Linked DNA regions of Canis lupus familiaris. The protein of the gene in region 1 purifies or fractionates together with the protein of each later gene. This does not show direct contact. Links are inferred from orthologs where the notes say so. Each region holds a gene or a part of one and is shown on either strand. Other genes may lie near its edges. The genes, in order: SLC34A2 and ENDOD1.

Region 1 (6,514 bases):
GGAGCCCAGGCTGAGCTGACGCCACGGCGCAGGCCCAGGGTGATGGGTGAGCGGTTGACCCTTTCTCAGGAGGGAAGGATCTCTACCAGGCAGAGGTGGGATTCGGGGCCCTGCTCCCTCCCGCCGCGGGGTGGGGGGGTGCCCTACAAGGCCGTGCTGCCTGACATGACCTTGGAGTCCGGGTCGTCCACTGGAGGCTGAGGGGACCCCTCCTGGGCCTCCACGCTCAGGGCCACGTTGTCAAAGGCCTCGGGGCCCTTGCCAGGCGGCGCCCCCTCGTCGTCGTCTTGGCTGCGGCAGCACCCGCTGCAGCGGCAGCACGGGGGACAGCCACACAGCAGGCAGCAGGTGCGGCAGCACAGGCGGCAGCACAGGCAGCAGCGGTTCTGGCAGCAGCCGGCCAGCAGGGAGATGAGGTCGTCCCAGGGCTTGAGGGAGCGCAGCCACAGGGGCAGGAAGCCCCAGTCCCGCAGCTTCCGGGGCAGGATGCGAGGGCAGCGGGACTGCAGGACGCCCAGCAGCCCCAGCAGCAGAGCCACCGCGACCACGGGCGCACCCACGCCCACCAGCACCGGCCAGCCGGCCAGCGACAAGCCGAACACGGCCATCGGGGTCAGGAAGAAAACGAAGACGAGGTAGAAGACGGCGAACCAGCGGTATTCGGCCGAGAGCATGCCCAGGCCCTTGGCCAGGCGGATGGGCAGGCGGGTGAACGGGATGGGGTACCACAGCAGGATGCCCGAGATGTTGAAGAAGAAGTGGCACAGCGCAATCTGAAATGCAAGGGGGGTGGGGGTGAGCGGGTCTGGTGCCTGGTGAGGCCGGGGTGATGGCAGGGGCATCACAAGGCCTCTGGGGCAGCGCCAAGGGCCCGCTGGGCCTTCCCAGGAACTTGCTGTGTGTGCGTGGGTGCAGGTGGGTGCAGGTGGGTGCAGGTGGGTGCAGGTGGGTGCAGGTGGGTGCAGGTGGGTGCAGACGAGTGCAGGTGGGTGGATGTCCGATGGAGGTGACCAGATGAACCACAGCCCAGGCCCCCTGGAGTCCTCCAGGAGTTTGAAATTCACAATGATCAATCTCAAAACCCTAGAAACCTAGGGCTTGACCCAGCTGGTGGGGCCCAAGAAGAGGCTTGCTAGGTAGCTGGGGGTCCCCACGGCCCCATCCGAGGGAGTTCAGGGAGAGGGCTGCACTTGGTACAAATAATGGCAGCAGCAGCTCATCTTAGCACCCACTAGGCTGAGGCAGCTGTTGGAAGCACATGCAACGAGTACCTCAATCCTCCAAAAAATACCCTCAGAGCTGCCAGACCATCATTATCCTCGTTTGATGTTGGTGGTGGTCGAGCCAACTGAGGAAGAGGTGAGGCTCCTTCCCTGCACACGCAGGAGATGGCGGAGGTGGGATTCCAACCCCAGCAGCCTTGGCTCCAGAGGCCACGCACTTTGCCACTTCCTTGGGCCCACCAGGTGCCAGGCATCACACTACGGGCTTTGGACCAGCCTGTCTGGTCGCCAGCCACTGGCCACATGTGGCAACTGAGTGCTGGAGGTGTGACTGGCCTCAAGTGTGCTGCAAGCGCACGATGCACACCAGATTTCAAAGACTTCGTCCAAAAAAAAAAAAGGTGAGACATCTCGCCAATTTTTAAATCAATTACACGTTCAAATGATAATGAGTTAGATCAAATACATTATTAAGATTGATCGTGTTTTACTTTTTGAAAACATGGCTAGGAAAGATTTCAAATGACATGGGTGGCTCAAATTTCTATTCTACACTCGTATATCTATCAGAGAGCATGGCTTTAGGCTGAGTCTCATCAGATCCTTGGAATAATCCTAATGAGATAAGGCTCCCGGGTTGCAGAGAGAATTGATGCTCAAAGGTTAGGTTACCTGTCTAAGGTCGCTTAGTGTGTAAACCCAGGACGGAGTTCAAATGCCAAAGATCTTCTTGCCCAAGTAACCTGGTTGATCCGGGTAGGGCAGGGGACCTGCCCTGAATTTAGAATTCTAAATTCTACGCCCAGAGCACAAGTGACTGCCCAAAATCCAAATAGAGTTCCCCAAGTGGGGGGTGAGGAGATGGGAAGTGGTGTAGTGGCCGCCCCCCACCTCTGTTTAAAACAACCACCAGTGATGGTGGCCTCACAGTTTTGAAGATAGAGAAAACTTGGCTCTTGTTCCAAACCATCTGCTTGTAAGACCACAAATGGGGCTGTCCCCCCACCCCCCCGGGCTCCCACCCACGCAGCCTTTCCTAACCTGCAGGGAGCTCCTCAGAGTATTGCCTGGGCTGGCCAAGGCGGCCAGGATGGCGGTGGTGGTGGTGCCGATGTTGGAGCCCAGTGTGAGTGGATATGCTCTCTCGATGGTGATCACACCAATACCTGGCAGAAAAATACAAAAACTATAGTATCAGCCCCAAGGGATGATGGGAGGTGGTGACAGCCAACTAGACAGGGTAGCCAGAGAGAAACTCACCGATCAGTGGGGTCATAGCAGATGTGAACACGGAGCTGCTCTGCACAATGAAGGTCATGCCTGCCCCCACAAGGATGGCCAGGTAGCCAGTCACCCAGGCAAAGGGAAAGGGAAAGTCTAGGAGACAGAAAGGAAAGGAGATCTGTCACAGACTTTCTAAGGAAGGGCTGGGTTGGAGGCCTAGCTCGCCCCTCCAGAGGACCGGGGTGGGGAGGGGTGCAGTATGGGCTGGGCTAGAGGGTCAGGTTGTATAGAAGCCTCCCCACCCCACACAATAGTCATAAATTACAAATTGGATTTTTAGAATCCTTTCACCTTGCATGTTCAGATGGTGGAACCACGGACCAATACACGCATTCACTGAATTCGGAAGTAGAGATGCTGAACACACATGTCGCGGACTAAGCGTCTCCTCTCAATTCCCATGTTGAAATGCTAACCCCATGTGATTGTATTAGGAAGTAGAGCCTTTGTGAGGTAATTGGTTCATGAGGGTGGAATCCTCCTGACTGGCCTAGTGCCCTTACAGGAGAGAGACCTACTCATTCCATGTGAGGACACAGCAAGGAGGCGGCCATCTGTACATCAGCAAGTGGGACCTCAGAGCCTGACCGTGCTGGCACCCCAATGCCAGACTTCCCAGCCCCCAGGACTGTGACAAGTGTTGCCAGCCTCCGATAATTTGTTATAGAATCAGAACTAGGACACCACCCAATTAAGCACCTTCCTCCCACGGAGCACTCACGGTGCTCTCCCAATGCCGTAAATCCTCCACCTTTCTGAAGGGGCACGGAAGCAAAGGGCAGCAGCTTGGAAGTCCTACACGCTGAGTTCTCGGCAACACCCACACGGGATCAGGCCCTGCACACCCAGCAGGTCCCCACAGTCACCCAGCTCAGCCACATGACAACCTTGGGGACAGCCCTCAGAGGTAGATATTCCTGGCCCTGTTTCATGAAGGTTTCATGGGGAGGCGACATCCTTGGCTTGGCCAGGATGCCATAAGCATCAGGGGCTTCTCCTGGCCACTGGGGTTGTGTTGGCTGCCTCAAGATGGTGATGGGTTATCTAGAACCATGTTTTCTTCCCAAGAGTGGAAGGGAAGTGGGGAGCAGAGAGGGCATCCGTTACCCTTTCTCTAAGGGATTCTGACAGACCCGAAAGACCTGGGCATGGGGAAACCTGCCAGGAAGGAAGGAAGGCCTATCTCATAGATCTCTGGATATGAGCTGGCTCTTTCTCAGGACCTTTCAGATGTGATAGACACTGGTGCCCAGGCTCCACCCAAGACACAAAAAAAGATCTCAAGGGCAAAGGGCATCTTCTTCAGCTTATCAGATCCAAGAGAAAAACTCCACACAGAGGCCATTGCTAGATGAAAATCTAAAAGGAACCTCCCCACCGCCGGGGTGGCCCCAGTGATGCCATGCCCTAGAAAGCCCAGAATTGGGGTGAGGGTGTGCCTACCTGTGTTGATTGTCTTCTTGATGACCACAGCTACTTGTCCCCGGAGCACGGAGCCTAGGAGCTTGACGATTGTGATAAGGCAGCCACAGAGGACCAGCAGGGAGGCCAACAGCAGGATGATGCCAACCGCAAGGTCCGGAAGGGTGGAATTTGCAAAGATGTGCTGGCCTGAAAGGACCAGGGAAAGCCCTTGTTAGAGGCCAGTGGGGCTCTGAGGCCACCGATTGTTCTTCATTCCCCAGCATCATCCTTCTGCTTTACAGTAACAGAATCTGGGTTGTTGGCTCAACATATGGCACCCCAGAACAAAGACCACACTTCCCGGCCTGCTTTGCAGCTGACTGTAACCCTGAGGCCATGTTCTGGCCAATGGGACCTTAGGAGGCTAGAACATGAAGTAAAATCCTTCCAGTTACAGAGCTGGTCGGGGCCTTTTCTTCTACCTCTACGTCTCACGGTGTGTTTTACTCCTGAGAGCGACTGATACCTCGAAGAGCTTGAAGAGCCAAGTGGGGTAGGATGGGGAAGTCAGAGTAGGAGCTATTGCCAGTTGTAAGCCTCATTTTTTAAGAAGTCCTGTGTGGCCCTAGGATTCTAGGGTTTGACTGATGGGTGTATAGCATCTTGAACATGGGAGGTGATAAACTCATTGATGCTGTGAGGTGAGCCACACTTGGAATCTACTGCTCAGAATTAACATGGGCGGCGTGGAGAGGATGAAGGGAAGCAGAGACACACACATGGTTAGAAGAGTTAAGGATGTCTGGACCCATGATTCCCAGGGCAACAGTCCAGCTTCTTAAAGAATCGGAGCATCATGTAGGCTCACTGCCTTGTTCAGTGCTGTGGCTCCAGGGCTTGGAAGGGGGCCTCCCGTACAGCAGGGACTCATGACTTCGGGCTGAATGTATTTGTTCTGTTCTGTGTGGGCCTTACATCTCCTACAGGTCTGGTTGGTATCTCCCTAGAGCCCAAGGGATACACCAAAGCAGACAGAAGGAGCCCTCTGGAATCTGCAGATGAGCTCTAGTGCAGTATGGACCTGCCAGAGGGGTTGGGATTCAAATCCTGGTTCCACCCCTCCTGGTGGGACCCCAGACCTGGCTCGAAACCTTAGTTCCCGCTGCTGTGAAAGTGCACAGTTCATTACTTGGTATGATGTTGGTGCTCAATGAATCTCCGTGCCTTTCTTTCCTTCACTAACTGCATTTCACACTGGCCTTGGGGAGCCCCATTGCCCTCCTAACGAGGCTTTCCGTGGTCTTTTCAGGCCAGCACATCTTTGTGATAAAGGACAACGTCAGCACCCCCTCACCCCCACCCCGACAGCCCAGCCCAGTGGCTGGTGCTCTGCTGAGCTCCACTCACACTTGGCAATGTTCTCCGTATAGGTCACATTCTTGAGAGTCCAGGTGTAGGTACCGTCCGACCAACAGAGACTAGGGGAGGTGCAGTTCTCAGACGAAGGAACGGTGACATTCATTTGAGTCTGGAAGACAAACATCGACACATGGTATAGAGAGTCCACCATCTCCCTGTTGGTGGGGACTGCAGGCAGTGTGGCCAGCAGGGAGGAGACACATGTCAATGCATGTGTCTCTAAAATATGATGCACTGTTGCGACGGGTCCCTCCATTCATGGGAACACAGGGAGCCATAGATAAGCCAAGAGACATGAAAATATCAAGCCAGGAATAACATGTTTTCCAAGGTGCGGGTGGGGCAAGAGGGAATCTGTCCTACTGCATTATCTGTCCATCAAGCATTCAAAGACTTGCTTCCCTAAGGATTCCCAGGGCCAATTTTTACTTCCTCTGACCTCTTATCTGCCCACATTGAATTCAAGGTTTTGCTGAACCCACAGATCCAAGAGTCTGCCCACCCAGCCACATCCTTAGAAACTTACCACGTTGGTAAAAGTCTTGCACCAAATCTTGATCAGACTCTTGTTTTTGGCTGCTTCATCATTCATTGCAATTTCATTGATGACTTTCTTATCCAGCTGAGGAAGACAGACAGGAAAGGGTCAGCAGGTCTCAGCACTGATGTGGGACAGACACATAGGAGGTTCTATGGAAGGGGCTCCAACAACATAAGCCCAGTGGGTTCTGACTTGCTCCGTCTATGCTCCCAGGATGGAGCACTGCACCCAGACATTAGCAGGTGCTTGAGAAATAAGGGAATGGCTGTAGAAACAGTGGGCTGGTAGCTGGGAAACACACAGTAGAAGGTCATCAGGTGACAGCAAAGCCCAGACGGTAAGGGTGATAAAGGGCAAGGTCTAAGCTGACCCACTTTTCAAGGCAACAGCCACAAAACCTTTTAAGATTTATTTCAATAATAGTTCAATCAGCCTGGGGGGCAGGGGGGTATGAGCAGGATAATCCTTTATCAGTGAGCCCATGGGTGCCGAGGTCAGTAGGGGGAATAAAGTGGCCCCAAGCATCCAGAGTCCTGAGTCTTGAGAAGCACTTGCCACCCTCCACTCCGCTCCCACCCCAATAAAGATGACATGCAAAGTCAAGGAAATGAAGAAGGCTGGTTACTCTTCAAGGGCAGGTGCC
Region 2 (6,514 bases), on another chromosome or scaffold:
GCTTTCTCCTCCCCTGACTTTTGATGTGACCCTAGATGACTGATTGTCCAACGGCTCCATCTGTGTTTCCCAGTTGTGTCTTGTCCTTCTTGTGTCCTCCAGTGTGGCTACCCTGTGGCTCTCATGCTGCCTTCCTCATCCAAGGGCTGCTGCTGGCGGGGGGCTGGGGCTTTGGAGCCTGAGAATCTGGGTATAAACCTTGGCCCTGCCACTTAGATATTGGGTGACCTTGTACCCATTGCTTATGTGAGTTTTCATTTTCCTGTGTGTCAAATGGAGACAGTGCCTCTCCCATTGGGTTATGTGGAGAGTAAATGGGATGCAGCAGGGCAGTGCTTTCTGAATCGTAGTCATTTGCAAACGTGCTTTACAATTTTTGCCGTATCTGAGGTGATGGGGATCCCATTAGGATTAAAAAGGATGCTTTATATATAGACCATTTTCTGTGGTGCTTGGTGCATCACGAGTGCTCAGTAAGTGGAAGTAATAATTATCCCAAGATGAGTTATCTGTACATCAGATCATTTATACTCTGCTTCCTGCTTATCCTTTCCAATTCAGCTTTTCACTTTTACTTACGTAGAATCCTATTTTTGGGGTGCCTGGGCGGCTCATTTGGTTGAGTGTCCAACTCTTTTTTTTTTTTTTTAATTTTTTTTATTTATTTATGATAGTCACAGAGAGAGAGAGAGAGAGAGAGGCAGAGACATAGGCAGAGGGAGAAGCAGGCTCCATGCACCGGGAGCTGGATGTGGGATTCGATCCCGGGTCTCCAGGATCGCGCCCTGGGCCAAAGGCAGGCGCCAAACCGCTGCGCCACCCAGGGATCCCCTGAGTGTCCAACTCTTGAGTTTAGTTCAGTCCTGATCTCAGGGTTGTGCTCAAGACTGCTAGAGACTCTCTCTCTGCCCCTCAATGCCTCAAATAAGTTAATTAATCCTTAAAAAAAAAAAAAAGGAGAGAGAAAGAATTCTATTTTCACAGGCTGGTGTGGTCTCTACCCCCATGCCTTGATGCCAAAGTCTTGTTAAGCCTTAACTAACCTTTCGGTTTCTCTGTGTTCATCGAAGTCATGCACATCCTTCTAATCCCACCTCAGCTCTGTCTTCTCCAAGAAGTAAGAAGTCATCTCTGACTGCATTCGTTGTGCCCTTCCTTCCTTTGAAATTCATTTGCTCTTTTTCTTTATTTCATTTATTTTTTAAAAGATTTTATTTATTCATGAGAGGCAGAGATGCAGGCAGAGGGAGAAGCAGGCTCCCTGCAGGGAGCCCTATGCAGGACTTGATCCCAGGACCCTGGGACCATGACCTAAGCCAAAGGCAAGATGTTTAACAACTGAGTCACCCAGGTGCCCCTCTTTATATCATTTATTTAGCATCTATGGTAACCTGCATGGCACTGTTGTCTTTTTCTTGGTTTCCTATTTAACTTTGTATCTCATTTCCCCAAATAGATGGTGACTTTCTTAATGTGAAGGCCTGTCTTGAGGCATAGAAAACAGTAAGGACACCAGCCACGGGGCTGGACTTTCTGTGTTCATGTGGTGATGCCACCACTCACTGTGTGACCTTGAGTAGGCTTCTTAATCTTGATGTGCCTCAGTTTCTTCATCTGTCAAAAGGTGAGACTAATACCATAGTACCTCATTTTTTTGGTAAGTTTAAATGAGTGAAGACTTAGCATAACCACTTACTGATTTAATACATGTAAAGTTCATAGAATGGAACCTGGCATATAGTGTTCAATAAATGTTGATGGTGGTAGTGGTGATGGTTGTTCCCAGTGCTAATGCGTCCTTCTGTGGTACCAGTCACATGTAATATATGCTTAATAAATATTGTTGAATGGATGAATATTTCCCCTCCGGTCCTCTTTTGCAATTTTCTATCCATCTGTTTTTCTTACATGCATGTTGGCAGGAAAACTGAAAGTCTCCTTTCATTTAATTCCAAAACAAAAAGAAACCCAATGGGTTTAAATAGCTTTTATTGTCTGGTATAGAGACCAACTCATTGAGAGAGACTATTTTTTTCTTGGTACTAAGTTTGAAAAGGAATTCATTACAAGATTATTTATGGGACAGGATGCTTGTGGAGGGGAAGAGTTCATTTTTCTAAAACCTACTTAGCATGTTGTGATTAGGAAAAAAAAAAAAACTTTCCTTGAAACACAGGAACTGTATCCAATGACATGGGCAACCCAGTGGGACAAGGTCAGCAGGGATGTGGAGTCCACAGAGAGAGCTTTGTGCCTGTCCCTCCATCCTGAGATTCCACTGGGAAACCAAAGAGTGAGATTAGCGGTGCATGCAAGAAGGCAAGTGTAAACCAGAAGTGTAGTCTGAAATTACCTCTTATGTCATAGGCATATTTTTGTCCTCAGGGAGTGGTGTTGTCAGTAATTTACTATAATGGCAATAACCAGATCATTAAACTGTGTCTGCAGAGAGCATGGAAAAATACATCTGCCCTTTAGGTGACACTGTCTCAAAGAATATGTTAGACTTTCTTTTTTTTTTTTAAGATTTTATTTATTTATTCATGAGAGACACAGAGGCAGACACACAGGCAGAGGGAGAAGCAGGCTCCATGCAGGGAGCCTGATGCGGGACTGGATCCCAGGACCCTGGGATCACGACCCAAGTCAAAGCAGACACTAGACCACTGAGCCACCCAGGTGCCCTTATGTTAGACTTTCTAAACCAAATATTCTTTTTAGTCCAGTTTCCCATTGGTGAGTTAGGTATTTTAGTTACATACGCACTGATATTCCTTCAGAAATTGAGGCCTTCCAAGACAGATTCAGCTGTTCTGTAGAGCTAAGTAAGCGTGGTGATGACGGGGAGCTGTTCTACTGATCTTATTTAGTTATTCAGATGATTCTATAGCAAATGACACTAAAACACTAGTCAGCCGGGGATCAGAAGAAAGTTTTGTCAGAGGTTTAAAAAACTGGTCTTGAGACAGGAAGCATGAATCATAATGAGCTTTTCTGTCAGTAGAGGTCAGGGCTTGAACCATTATAAGACCCTAGGATTTTGAGGCACCTGGGGGGCTTAGTGGTTGAACATCTACCTTCAGCTCAGGTTGTGATCCTGGGGTCCTGGGATCGAGTCCCACATCGGGCTCCCTGCATGGAACCTGCTTTACCTTCTGCCTGTGTCTCTGCCTCTCTCTCTCTCTGCCTCTCTCTCTCTCTGTCTCTGCCTCTCTCTCTCTCTCACCCTGTCTCTCTCTCTCTCTGTGTCTCTCGTGAATGAATAATAAAATCTTACAAAAGAAAAAAAGCCCTGGGATTTCATGTTTTATAAATGATATGATAGAGTGACTTCATCGTGTAATGCCCGGGGTGTGTGTGTGTGTGTGTGTGTGTGTGTGAGAGAGAGAGAGAAAGAGAGAGAGAGAGAGAGTGTGTTACCACCTATCTCTTAAGTAAAGAGATCTCTTTACTTATCAGGCAGTAAATTAGGAAACAACCTATTCGGAAGCTGCTTCCAAACACAGGGTGGTGGGATAGCAGAATGAAGTGTATGCACCCCAGAGAACCAAGCCCTTCCAAACCCGGGCACTGGGAGGGCGGGTGCCCTGGGGACTTCTCTAGAGCCACGGCTCCAAGTGCAGGTGATTCATATGCACCCTCTCCCCTGTGAACAGGATGCATCTCAATACCTGCCCTCTTCTTTCAGATTGACGACCCCACCAGCACCCTCGGGGAGCTGACTGATGAGGCTGATGCCATCTCCTCTGTGAACAGCCTGGGAAGCAAGCAGGCCCTGAGTACAGATTATGTGGACCCTGATTACCAAAGGGGACAGCTGTACCCATTCTCCCTTAGCAGTGATTTCCGAGAGGCCACCTTCGCTCTAACGAATGCCGTACCGATGAGCCCGTCCTTCCAGGAGCGGTGGTACACGAATCTCCGCAGCCTGATGGAGCGGGCCCTGACCCCGCAGTGTGGCAATGGGGAAGACCTGTACCTCATCGCAGGCGCCGTGCCCTCAGATCGCATACTTCAGGACAGAGTGACCATCCCTGCGTTTGTCTGGCTGGCAGCCTGTTGTGCCATGCCCGGGGGTGGCTGGGCCATGGGCTTTGTCCAGCACACCCGGGATGGTGACATCATAGAAGACGTGATGGTGAAGGAGCTTGAGAAACTGCTTCCGTCTAACCCCCAGCTGTTCCAGGACAATTGTGGTGAAACTGAGCAAGACACGGAGAGAATGAAGAAAATCCTGGAGGTGGTCAACCAAGTCCAGGACGAGGAGCGGACGGTACTATCCAAGGAGGACACTCGTCCCCTCTCTAGCATGACCAGTGAAGGATCAGCTCTGCTGCCTCCGGAGGCACCGGAGGAGAGGAGGAGCTTCTTGGGTAGGTTGATGGGCTTCATCACTACCCCGGTCATCAGGCTTTTCCAGTTACTTTATTACGTTGCAGTAGGCATCCTGAAGAACATTATATATTTCCTGTGGTTTGTTACCAAGCAAGTGATTAACGGCATCGAGAATTGCCTTTACCGCCTGGGTTCAGCCACCATCTCCTACTTCTTGGCCATTGGGGAAGAGTTGGCAAGCATTCCCTGGAAGGTACTCAAAGTCATGGTCAAAATCATCAGGGCCGTGCTCCGGATCCTTTGTTGTCTGCTGAAGGCCGTTTGCCGCATTCTGGGCATTCCAGTCCGAGTCCTTGTGGACGTGGCCACTTTCCCTATGCACACCATAGGTGCAGTTCCAATCGTGTGCAAGGACATTGCAGTGGGCCTTGGAGGCACCATCTCTCTGCTCTTTGACACTGCTTTTGGTACTATGGGTGGTGTATTTCAGGTTATTTTTAGTATCTGCAAGAAGATTGGTTACAGGGTTACCTTTGACAATTCTGGGGAGTTATAGAACTCCAAAAAAGCTAGTAGTGTCCAGTTACAGTGAATTTGATTTTGTTTTTTTTAAAGAGAAAGCTGGAATACTTTGTCTTTACAATGGGTTTCTGTTCACTGTCAATTACCATTACATTTTGGCCTTTGGTAGGGGTATTTGCATGCTTTTGCAAAGGAAGATGGTATAATTAGGACTTGGCCAAAGATAGATGTGGGGAGTGAGATTATGTATGTGTAGGTCATCTGTGGGATATAGGCAAACTTCCAAATCATTAGAATCTTTATTCACTCTGCTACTGGATGGACCTCCTGAGATACTCTGGTGTTCATTTGTGGTAACTAGGAATTACAGAGAAGGGAAGAGTTAGCAAGAGTATAACCTTAATCCAAAGAGTTTCTAAGAAAATGGAAAAGAAATCTTGTTTCTGTTATGAAACTTAAGGCAAAACCTATACAAATGTTGTTGGTCGATTTGTTTTCATTGCTTCTCTTTCTCTCCAACTCAGCTGATCTTGGTGAAGTACAGACATGTTTCCCTGTTGAAATAACTTTCTTAGGGATAAGGAATTTGCTAGATCCCTGAGCTTTCCATGGCTTCCAAGGACCTGTAATGTTGTTTGGGGTTTTTTTCTTCCAAAGATGAATTTTGCTGCATTTTTCTTTTAGGTAATGATAAGGATTATGTGTTAAATGTGGCATAACAAAGTTTGAATGCACGGGCAAAAAACTGTATAATACGGTCCTCTCGGGTATAAAGAAGAGAGTGCAAGGGTCAGAGCCCTGTTTGAATAGGTGCTGTAGGTCTGAGAACATCCTTAGCTAAGCTTAGATTAACTTGATGTATATTAAATCTCTGGCTAAGAATGAGCTCAAAGACTGACATGTTGGCTACCATGAAAATTTGTACTCTCCAACATTCTAGATCCACCTTTGTTATGGATCAGACAAGTACCCATTACAGCAAAATACTCTGACCCCCACCTTAAATGATTGTTTTGGTTTAAATATATACAGAAGAACCACGAAAGAAAAACTATTCTATCCATCTCAGAAAAAAAAAATCCATATCCATATATATCTAAGTTTATGTAGGCATAAACTTGATTAAGAATCACTGTGTCTTAGGACATTATTTTTATAGCGTGTTTGAGGTTAGAAAACAACTCTCCTGTTAATGCAAGTTTGATTTAAGAGCTAATCCCTATTTTTTTGAAAAAGCACTTATCATTTTAAATCTTTTCCTGAAAGAGAAAGCAGAATCTTCCAAACCTTGCTCTGCCTTCCACAGCTGAGATGCAATCATCTGGATTTTTCTAAAGAGCTGCCGTGAGGTAGAAATGGGGCAAGTATAAAATACTGATCTTAGGGGTACAGGGTACCATCCATCTGAAACTTGGTTGTAAACAGCTGGGATCCAGAAAGGCAACAAGGAGAGAATAATGGAGAGAAATAATATTTGCTGTGGGTAGGTAGACAAGAAATATGAGTGCCGTGAGCTACATGTCACAGAAAAATAATTTAATTGCACCCAAAGTGGAAGAGTGGCCATCCTGATCAATTGGTGATACAATGTTGGGGATTATGAACACCAGACTGGTCCATGATAGGGGATGTACACTAGATTTATCCAAGATCTTAA

What was found.
Region 2: the proteins of SLC34A2 (region 1) and ENDOD1 purify together in Homo sapiens (co-immunoprecipitation; 3 studies listed by BioGRID and IntAct, counting the BioPlex papers as one, with this or other methods). This does not show direct contact. The link is inferred for Canis lupus familiaris from reciprocal best matches to the Homo sapiens genes SLC34A2 and ENDOD1.

What each region holds. Positions count from the first base shown.
Region 1 is NC_049224.1:85,282,587-85,289,100, forward strand, and holds part of SLC34A2 (sodium-dependent phosphate transport protein 2B), read right to left. Parts: intron 5,953-6,514; coding exon 5,857-5,952; intron 5,440-5,856; coding exon 5,319-5,439; intron 4,119-5,318; coding exon 3,951-4,118; intron 2,601-3,950; coding exon 2,484-2,600; intron 2,390-2,483; coding exon 2,265-2,389; intron 774-2,264; coding exon 144-773; 3' UTR 1-143. UniProt on the Homo sapiens protein: Involved in actively transporting phosphate into cells via Na(+) cotransport.
Region 2 is NC_049242.1:6,016,665-6,023,178, reverse strand, and holds part of ENDOD1 (endonuclease domain-containing 1 protein), read left to right. Parts: intron 1-3,688; coding exon 3,689-4,891; 3' UTR 4,892-6,514. UniProt on the Homo sapiens protein: May act as a DNase and a RNase. Plays a role in the modulation of innate immune signaling through the cGAS-STING pathway by interacting with RNF26.